Saccharomyces cerevisiae S288C: one gene and its partners. The gene in region 2 interacts genetically with the main gene of each other region. Each region holds a gene or a part of one and is shown on either strand. Other genes may lie near its edges.

Region 1 (3,310 bases), on a different chromosome or scaffold from region 2:
CTTGTCTGCACTGCTAACATCTTGCATTATGGCAAGTGTATGTCTGGGAATCGTTTTATCCTTGTTTCGCGGGCAAAGTAATAATGAGATAGATTTAGAAATTCAAAATATTCTCATAGCCATTATTATCATTTCCTTACTGGTTTCCCTTATTTTGATCTGTGCGTGCCTGTTGTTGTTATTTAGTCGGTTCACTTTGGCGCCAATCTGGCATTATGTTGGTTGCTTCACAATGTTTTTCTCAGTTACTGGAACAGTGTGCTATGGTATGATTGAAATTTTCTTTTAATTATTTTGGACGATAAAAGTTTTTCATGTGTACAGTCTATATAAAATATGCATATCATGTGGTTACATAAGAAGAATGTTAATCTTGTTTGGAGATTTTGTTTTTGGAAACTTCGCCATTGCGAAGGGTGTTGCAAACTGAATTTCTGTTTAAGTTTTTAATTAATAATCCTTATTTTGATCTTTTCTGATGGCCGTGTTTGAACGCATAGTATTGTGAATATAAGCGAAGTGAAAACCTTTACACCTGCGGCAGATGCCATATTACTGCGCTAGTGGTGAATATTATTAAGCGTGCTATCAAAAAGAGATGAAAACGTGCTAACTAAAAAGGACTCAGATTCGTTACACACTTAGCCTCGAATAACGATCAGGATCTGTTCTAACCACAACTCCATGGACAGCATGCAATGTTTGGGCTCTTGATAACGTCCCCCCATCAGTACTATCGTATATATTAAAATCGTCTGCAAAGCTCGAAGCATCGTCGGGGATTGAACAGTTATCCAGGTTATAGTTAGTAACATTTCGGTCACTCTTGCTAATATCTTGTTCGATTTTTTCATCGGGTTCTTCCTTTTGAGCTTGGCCACTTTCTTCGTCAAAAGTATTGCCTTTAGCTAGGAATCTAAACCTACACCACCATATGAAATGAGACGCGAAAATTCCTAACTCCATTCCAGCAACTATTGAGTATAATATAATACCCATAATATCCATATTACCTAGGATAACACTGATGATAGATAGCCAAGCACCTAATGAATCGATGAATAAGAAGGCAAAGTTGATGCCAATAACACGACCTTTCCTTTTGGCTAGTTCAAAGTAAGGTGGAAGCAGTCCGACAGCTAACAAAACAGATGCAGAAATACCAAAAATCAGATCGGGCCATTTAACACCCTTCTCGTAAAGGGGCCTCAGCCATAATATAAAGCCAACTTCCATGCCAACATCAGCCGCAATAATAGCAGCTACAATCATTACTATTTTGGATCTCGCCATACTGATTGGTGGATAATAACACGATTGGACGAAACTTATAGAACAGAAGAACATAAAAAGGTGTGGTTGAACTTGTAAAATGACATTACCTTTACTAACACAGAAATATATGGCAAATGGAATTCCGGAAACAACCCAGAGGAACATCATCAGTGGTGGCAGCCCCGTACAGTCCTTTTTTTTCCAATTATATATTATTTGCGGAATTAGCTGGACACACCAGCAAACTGTTGCTATAGTAGCTAAAGCGGTAGCAGCCTTTTCAGAGATCATGAATACCTTATTCTTAAATCTATGTTATGTTATAGTATTCCACAGTTTATATTTCAGCGGTTAATTTGAAAATAGAGATCAGCGGAAAGTAGAAGGCACCAGAAGGAAAGCATTATTTATATGAGTTTCGTTTGGTACGAGAAGTGTGATACAGAGGTAATCTACCTATCTAGTCATTGAAAAATGCTATCAAGAAACGGCGTTCTCATATTACCCGAAGCACCTTATCTGGCGCTCACACCGCGGAAATAATTGGGTGATATTTTAGACAAACGGACTTTAATGTCATGCTAAGATAAACGTTCAGTAATGCAGCAAATGCTTATCATGACGACTCGTTTACAAGGTAAATTCGATTACGAAGAAGGTGCGGACAAAATAACGATTAATTAAAATACAATAGGTATATAAAATAAATAGAGAATAAATATAGTGTAGTTGCTTTACAGAAAAATGAAATAAACTGGAGTACGGATCACCGAAGAGGAGGTTGTTCACTTTCAGGTTATGATGTAATGAAGGTGGGAAGTTAGAAATGTATTAGTTGGCGTATATCTAGAAATAAACAACCCGATGCTTGGGAAGGAACTCAATGTAATATAATACTCATTTTGTTTTGCAAAAACATTATAACTCTTAATTATTTCTCCACATTTCTAAACCCAAAAATAAAACAATCGTCCTCTTGGTTCTCCGAATCCCAAGATGCTTAAATACCGGTGTTATCCAAGAAAAAGTAGTTTCCTGATGATTTTTGTTCTTTATCCATTTGGGAATCTAGCTTATTAATTCTTGGTCTGAAGGAGTTTGGATCCCTTCTGAAGGTGACATTCAAATTCTTCAAAAATCTGTTACAACCAGTCAACAAAGATTCAGGGGCTCTTGCGTGAGCATTCTTGGAAGGAATACCTTCAAAAACAATGACCTTATCAGCAAGATAAGTAGCCATGATGAAATCGTGCTCGACAATAAACGCAGTTTTCTTATTATGTAAGATGAATCTTCTGATAACTTTAGAACAGATAATACGTTGTTCGGAATCTAAGTAGGCAGATGGCTCATCAATCAAGTATATGTCTGCTGGGATACCCAATGCCAAGACGATGGCGACTCTTTGTAATTCACCACCAGACAAATGTTGGACTTCTTGATCAATAATATCGTCAATCCTTAAAGGTTTAACGACATCAGTCTGAAACTGTGGATTTAGGAATTGTCCTCTAATTTTCTTGAAAAACAATTGTCTGACAGTACCTGGGAACTTTGGTGCAATTTTTTGTGGTTTCATAGAAACATTCAATTTTGGAATATCTTGTCCTTCATCTGGCTTCAAAGCACCAGCTAGTAATTTGATCAAAGTGGTCTTACCGGTACCGTTTTCACCCATCATAACAAGGATTTCGGAATCGGAGAATTCACCTTCTTCAACATTCAAAACAAAATCACCTTGAGTTTTCTTCAAACTTGGGTAAGAGAAGGCGCGACTAGCAGAGTCATTCTGCAAGTCTTCGGTAGCATCAGCTATTCTAAATTGTAAAGCTTCAGTTCTGAATCTCAGGTTTTCAGCAGGAATATGACCGTCCAAGAATATGTTGATACCTTCTCTGACAGAGGCTGGTAATGTAACAACACCGTAAACAGATGGAACACCATATATGATACAAACGAAATCGGAAAGATAATCCAAAACTGACAAATCGTGCTCAACACAAATAACGTATTTAGTTGGAGCTAGTAAAGATCT
Region 2 (3,560 bases):
ATTTTGTCAATGAAAAAATAATGTGACAAACGTCTGCAAATAACCTGAAGAATTTTATCCGGGATAACGACAAAGCGTTAAATATAGAAACATAGTGAATGTACTGCTAGGAAAAAAATAGGCATAATTTAATCTTTATTCATATAAATGTTTTTACCAGAACTCTCTTGGTAGATAGTTTTGATATACGGTTTCCTGCTCAATTTTAGTGAGGCTGGGACGTAAAGTATTTTTTTCAAATAAACCATTTCTTGTTTCTACCTTTTTAGTACGGATTTTTTTTAGTAAGTTCTGTATTCTTTTTTAAGAGTAAAAAATATTCAGACCCCAAACTCACAAAAAGCCTACAGAGTCCGCCTGTTACGCTCAATTTAGTACTACCACTTGTGATAATATTTATTTTGGGACAGGTCCAAAAACTTTTAGGTTTAAACGTACAAACGTTGAGTTTAATCTAGATCATATATCATTATAAAGGTTTTATCTACAAGCAAGTGAAGAAACGTAACAAACGTAAAAAGCTTCAGCCTCACCTAAATATCGAATTTGTACTGAGTCTTTGAAGTGTATACCTCGCCGCGCTTCAGAAGAACACAACCTCTCCACTCATCACGGTTGATAGCATCAACGTATCTACCTTGCTGAACGGCAAATCCAGACCTTGGCACAAATTTGCCACATAAATTATCACCGGTGTACAAATGAACGGTTGGTTCTGTCGTCGAAACCTCAAATTTGATGTGAGATTCGGGATGATAGGCCTTAAAAACAGGAACCAATTTGTTGACACTCACAGAATCTGTAGTCTTCAAATCCTTGTTAGCGTCAATAATGAAAGTGCAATCAAAGACCGGAGTATCTTCATGCAAAACGGTGGGCTTAGTTGAATCAAAAGTAGCAATGTTCCTTTCAATGATCTTACCAGTTGGAAGCAATGCCCCCTCTGTAACTTCAAGCGATTTGTTCGAGCAGACCTTAACTTCTGTACCACGAATGGACTTCTCACTCTTGACTTTGTTCAAGTTAAAATACGAGTGGTTGGTCATATTAATTGGAGTAGCATCACCACGAACTAACTGTGCTTGGTATTCCATGTCTAAAGTCATTTCTGCAACATTCAAAGTGTACTTCACTGTGACTTCCAAGTCACCTGGAAACTCGTTAGGGTTGGGCTGTGTGTGATCATCCAACAATTTAAATTCAACAACGTAAACGCCCTTGGAAGGATTCTCAACAGGGGACGCCTTGTACTGCTTAAGATTTAAGGAACTGATACTGCTGTGATTTGTGTTACCACAATTGTTAACAGTTAACTTGTGAGGACCATCATCCAGGCTGAAAACACCCTTGGCGATACGGTTGGCATAACGACCAACTGTAGCGCCCATCATGTTACCATCTGTTAAATAGTCTTGTACGTTTGAATAACCTTGAACGACTGATTGGCCGTTTACCTTCAGGTCTACCAAAGTTGCACCAAGTGGCGCAATGGTAGCTTGGAACTTTTTCTCATCACCAATTGTAATGACACCATACTTATTATCACCGTTACTATTTGACATTTCGCTGTTTGTTATCTGTTTTGATTTTTTTTTTCACTGCTTATCATACAAACTGATCAATTGAGCTATCAAACTTCAACTTATCTCTGTATTTATATGCTGAAAGTATAGAGTGTACATAAAAATGTATCACATGTCTATTACATATTACGACACCCCCACAATATTTTAACTGATCTTAATAACACGGGGTAGGAAGTTTATTTCATCATACCACTCAATGAGCTAAGCTGCCAAAGGCTCCTGTTCACTTCCTTGTGGTTCGTAGGCTATTCAGTGGCAACGTAATAAACAAGAAAAGAAAAAATTTCAACACCTTTATTCTAAATGTTGTCAGAAGTAATTATAGTGGGGGTATTGCAGATGTAAATGAAATACGACGTACTGTGGGGGGCTTTTCTTTTTCAAGAATCCTAAACTATTCCAATGGGATTGCGTGATTATGTTTCGTTAGAGTTTTTTTCTATATCTCCGTTCTTATTTCTTAAGTCCGCCCCTTGCTGTAACCAGCCCGGCTATTATTTGACGAATTTTTCACATCTTCATTCCTTGCCGAGAAAGAAGCTTTTGCCTCCCTGGGGTTATTATAAAATATATCTGACGTCACTGGTTTGCAGCCAAAAAGTTTAATTATTTTAACTTCAAGGGTTCGTTTCGGAGTAAATAGTCAATGCACAAAATAGGAAGGTGGAGGTGGGGTATGCATTTTTGTGCATAGAGTGGCGGGGTATTAAGAATAATGCACATATAGGCACATAGGCACAAATGCGTGGGATGACTTGACTGTGCAAAGACCGTTAGCAACCTAGAATGTGGAATAGTATCCCAAATGATGACGTAAACGTTCGAGGATAATATTAGATAATATAATATTAGTATCCTCGTCTAAAAACAGGCAAAATAGCACGGAATCTATTCAAAAGAAGGCGGCAAGCAGTATCAATTGAGATAAGTGTATACGAACGGTGAAACCTCCTTGGCACAGAATTTTATCGTTCAAGTGGTAGGATAGCATTGCTGCCATAACACCCTCCTTAATCACAGGATAATATGGTGAACGAGATATATAAAGCGATAAGTTTAGGTGTGATATTTTTCTTTCGTTGTGCAAGTGTTGTGTAAATTCTTTCTCATTTGATAAATCAAAAAAAAAAAAAAAAAAAAGAAAAGAAAAGAAAAATTAATAAAATGCAATCATCCACTGAAAGTGATAGAGATATTCAGGATGGTCCTGATGCTGATATTCACGTCGCACCACCCGTGGAAAAAGAGTGGTCAGATGGATTTGATGACAACGAAGTCATAAACGGGGATAACGTTGAGCCACCAAAAAGAGGGCTCATAGGTTATCTTGTCATTTACTTATTGTGTTATCCAATATCCTTCGGGGGTTTCCTGCCTGGTTGGGATAGTGGTATCACAGCAGGTTTCATTAACATGGACAACTTTAAAATGAACTTCGGTTCTTACAAGCATAGCACTGGTGAATATTATTTGAGCAACGTGCGTATGGGTCTTCTTGTGGCTATGTTCAGTATTGGATGTGCCATAGGTGGTCTTATTTTTGCCCGTCTTGCTGATACTTTAGGTAGAAGGCTGGCAATTGTAATCGTGGTGTTGGTATATATGGTTGGTGCAATTATTCAGATCAGTTCGAATCACAAATGGTACCAATACTTCGTTGGTAAGATTATCTATGGTCTTGGTGCTGGTGGCTGTTCGGTGTTGTGTCCAATGCTTTTGTCTGAAATAGCTCCTACAGATTTGAGAGGTGGACTTGTCTCATTGTACCAACTTAACATGACCTTCGGTATTTTCTTGGGTTATTGTAGCGTTTATGGTACGAGAAAATACGATAACACTGCACAATGGAGAGTCCCACTTGGGCTTTGCTTTTTATGGACTTTGATTATCATCATTGGTATGTTATTGGTTCCAGAGTCCCCAAGATATCTTATTGAATGTGAGAGACACGAAGAGGCCCGTGCTTCCATTGCC
Region 3 (4,081 bases), on a different chromosome or scaffold from region 2:
GTTTGATAGTGATTGGAATCCACAGGTGGATTTACAAGCCATGGACAGGTGTCACCGTATTGGCCAAGAATCACCGGTTATAGTATATAGGTTGTGTTGTGATAACACCATTGAACATGTTATATTGACCAGAGCGGCCAATAAGCGAAATTTGGAAAGAATGGTTATCCAGATGGGAAAATTCAATAACCTGAAAAAATTGGCGTTAAATGAAGGTTCTTTTTTGAAGGCAAACAAAGCGGGTGTTAATGTCACTAATAAGGACTTAGTCCAGGAGTTATCTATGCTTTTAATGAGCGATGAATCCAATATAGGCTTTGAAAATGGGGGACAGAAAGAAAATAAGGCTACTGAGGGCCAACTGACTGATAAGGAGGTTGAAGAATTGACCAACAGATCTCTTGAAGCGTACAAGGCCAACAGAGTCGTAGATCTGCCGCACGTCAAGCTATTTGAAACAACCTCCGGTCTTTAACTTGGTTATCATACAATATTGTTTTTATTAAATGTTTGTATATATGTACATATACATACCTATATATTGATCAATGTTCTTGCCGTACAAATTCTTCCTCTAGTTGTTCCTTTAGTTCACGGTTTTTGAATAAAGTATCCGCAGTATTCATTCGTTGCAGAAAGGTATCTTGAATATTATTTTTTGTGTTCTGGAAATCAGCTTTTAGTTTAGTAATCCATTCCAGTATCAAAGTCATATCCAGATCATGTTTTACCAGACGGTTCCTCTCAGAAATAACTTTCTTTTTCAATTCCATGAAACGGAGCCAGTTGGAATGATTCTCTTCTATATAGGCAGGATCGTATTGATCTTCCAAATGGAGACCTCTGACGTCCATATATGCCATTCTTTGCGACCATTGACTTATCATTACATCGCCCCACTCTTCGTACACTTCGACGTTTTCAAGACGAATCGATTCTGCCAGTTTAGCCATTTCGGTAAGAAAAGAATCTAATGAATGAAACAGTGATTTTTCAAAGTCTAACAAATGTATTTTATAATTCTTCAGTATCGATGTGATAGATGATTTGGTAATGTAAGCTTCCAGTTCAACTTGACCCGATTCATCAAAATACTTTATTTTATTTTGCACAGGATCGAATTTAGAGGTACAATTAATATCTTTGATTTTTGAATCTAGAAACACTAATTGCTCATTAACGGTAGTGTTAAGGTCATCAAGATTCCTAGTGATTTCTATAGATTTATTTTGCACCTCGGCCTCGAACACAGACTGTATCTCTGAATCCAAAAGTGCCATCGCACTGTGTATTTTCGAATCTATAGCCTTAATCCATGCTTCATATTCCATTTTTAATGATTCTGCCTCGTAAGTTTCCAATTCTGCATGGCTATTGGAACCAATGATAATCTTTGACAAATCCTGCAAAATAGCAGCAGTGACGAGTTGTGAGTTCCCGTGGCCATCCTGTACTCCATCGAACTCGTATTCTTTATTTTCATCCTCAATTCCGACATCATCCTCATCCTCATCTTCATCCTCATCCTCATTTTCATTCTCATCATCCTCATAATCCTCTGTTTCCGAGTCTGTCTCAAAAATGGGTTTGGTGAGCGTGCCATCAGCGCTAAAGGAGCCGTATTTCATCCAATCCGTAGAGGAGTTAAATGGATTCTCTAGTACATTCTTCACATTGTCTGTATATGGCTTTAAATAGTACCAGGCAATCCTTAGATGATTTAATAAAGGTCCCAACTTGGAATGTAGCGAACAGCAGAGCTCATTTAGCCTTAGAAAAGAGAAAATATTGTACCAAAAGCGGTAAAAATATCCCATAATTCTCTTCAAGGATGAGTTGGGGTATCTTTCAATCAGTGGTTTTATCGATTGTGAGTACTTTCCAACTAAATAGTCAGAAACCGCTGAACCTTCAACCAATTTAGAATCGAATAGTGAGCCAACTGAAAATTCAGTATGCCGGCAAATGGGCTGTAAATCTGTGGCAAAGCTTCCCAGACCATTTTGCTGACAGACCAGATACCTTGCAATAAACACGCAAGCCAGCAAAGCAGTCGTTACTTTGAAAACGGCCTTCATGATTTTTAGTAAAGAACTAACCACCTTTTTCTTAGTTAAGAAAAGGTCAATCAGTAACAGAAATATGATAGTAGCAACACCCAAAAAAATGCTATCTTCCAATAGTCAAAAAGGAAGCCTCGATGCCATACAAGTCTCTTCTAAAGTACTATTATGTAATTCCTGTTAAATGATACCTGTATTGTGGCTTAAAAGGGCCGAAATGACAACAAAATGAGTAGGGTTAATTTAATTTTTAAAGAGGGCATTTATCTAAAAAATGAAAGACAACTATAGGGCTGGTAATTATAGAATAGGTCTTAGTAGGGTTATCCCTTCCTCTAGAAAAAAAGAAAGAAAAATAATTTTAAGTGGCCAATTAGAACCAAAACCAACAGTATCGTGGTATCATACGCTCCAAAGCAACTAGAAGAAAGGCCTTATTTGACCATTGGATTCAGTATTTTTTCTCCAAGTAGCGGTTAAAAGACTGAGAGACTAAAGCTAGATAGTGGGTTTGAGTGACTATCCCCTTTTTTCCTCCTCTTTTTTTATTATTTTGATTTTATTTCATTTTGATTTTATTTCAACACGATTAAGACACAAGCGTTACTTCCCTAGACTATAGTCTCTGCCGTTCCCATTCTATTGATTTTTGGAGCAGCAGTTTTTACAAAAGAAAAGAAAAAAAAGACGAAAACAACAAGCCAGAGTAAAGATGTCGTTTTGGCCATTTGGACAGAATCTTAATCACTCTAATATTAATAAGATCCTAGATGAATATTTTCATGTGCTACACGAACTGGAAAGGATTAACCCAAGCGTTGGTAAAGCCATTCCCGCTATTTTCAACAACGTTCAGGAACGAGGTACAAGTGACTCCCTAGATTCTATTCCGGAGGAGTATAGTCATGGTGATGAAGTGAAAACGGCACGTGGAGATCAGAAGAGTCGATTTGAGAAGGATGATCAGCAAGAACGGTATGAGAAAGAGGAAGAGGAACGGAGCATGAACTCTAGCGAATCTTCCACTACATCTTTTTCTTCTGGGTCAACTTCTAAAACTGATTTAGATGAGGAGGATATCAGCAATGCTACTGCTCCCATGATGGTCACCACAAAGAATTTGGATAACTCTTTTATTGAAAGAATGCTTGTAGAGACAGAGCTACTGAACGAATTATCGAGACAAAACAAGACGCTACTTGACTTCATTTGCTTTGGATTTTTCTTTGATAAGAAAACTAATAAGAAAGTGAATAATATGGAATATCTGGTCGACCAACTGATGGAATGTATCTCGAAGATTAAAACCGCCACCACAGTGGATTTGAATAACCTGATAGATTATCAAGAACAGCAACAGCTTGATGATAGCTCACAAGAGGACGTTTATGTGGAATCTGATACGGAGCAAGAAGAGGAGAAAGAGGACGATAATAACAGCAATAACAAGAAGAGACGAAAACGCGGAAGCTCCTCGTTTGGTAACGATGATATCAACAACAATGACGACGACGACGATGCGAATGAGGACGATGAATCTGCTTATTTGACAAAGGCCACCATAATATCTGAAATCTTTTCCTTAGACATATGGTTGATTAGCGAGTCATTAGTTAAAAACCAATCATACTTAAACAAGATTTGGTCTATCATCAACCAGCCAAATTTCAATTCTGAAAACTCTCCCTTGGTACCCATATTCTTAAAGATTAACCAAAATCTGTTGTTAACCAGGCAGGATCAATATTTAAATTTTATTCGAACGGAGAGAAGCTTTGTTGATGATATGTTAAAGCATGTTGATATTTCCCTATTGATGGATTTTTTCTTGAAAATAATATCCACAGATAAGATTGAATCACCCACGGGAATAATTGAATTAGTATATGATCAAAACTTGATCAGCAAATGCTTAAGCTTTCTAAATAACAAAGAGTCCCCAGCTGACATCCAAGCATGCGTGGGTGATTTCTTAAAGGCTCTGATTGCCATTTCTGCTAATGCACCCTTGGATGATA

Evidence for each region.
Region 1: mutations in YNR071C (region 2) and ILT1 together harm fitness more than expected from each alone (negative genetic interaction), as found in Saccharomyces cerevisiae (one large-scale study listed by BioGRID).
Region 3: mutations in YNR071C (region 2) and OSW7 together harm fitness more than expected from each alone (negative genetic interaction), as found in Saccharomyces cerevisiae (one large-scale study listed by BioGRID).

Annotation. Positions count from the first base shown.
Region 1 is NC_001136.10:624,433-627,742, forward strand, and holds ILT1 (Ilt1p), read right to left. Parts: upstream 1,567-3,310; coding exon 634-1,566; downstream 1-633. Other genes in the region: VTC5 (Vtc5p), read left to right, coding at 1-289; RLI1 (Fe-S cluster-binding ribosome biosynthesis protein), read right to left, coding at 2,276-3,310.
Region 2 is NC_001146.8:769,907-773,466, forward strand, and holds YNR071C (aldose 1-epimerase superfamily protein), read right to left. Parts: upstream 1,563-3,560; coding exon 534-1,562; downstream 1-533. Other genes in the region: hexose transporter HXT17, read left to right, coding at 2,751-3,560.
Region 3 is NC_001138.5:231,467-235,547, forward strand, and holds OSW7 (Osw7p), read right to left. Parts: upstream 2,079-4,081; coding exon 546-2,078; downstream 1-545. Other genes in the region: IRC5 (putative ATPase), read left to right, coding at 1-475; SAP155 (Sap155p), read left to right, coding at 2,776-4,081. UniProt on the Saccharomyces cerevisiae protein: Involved in spore wall assembly.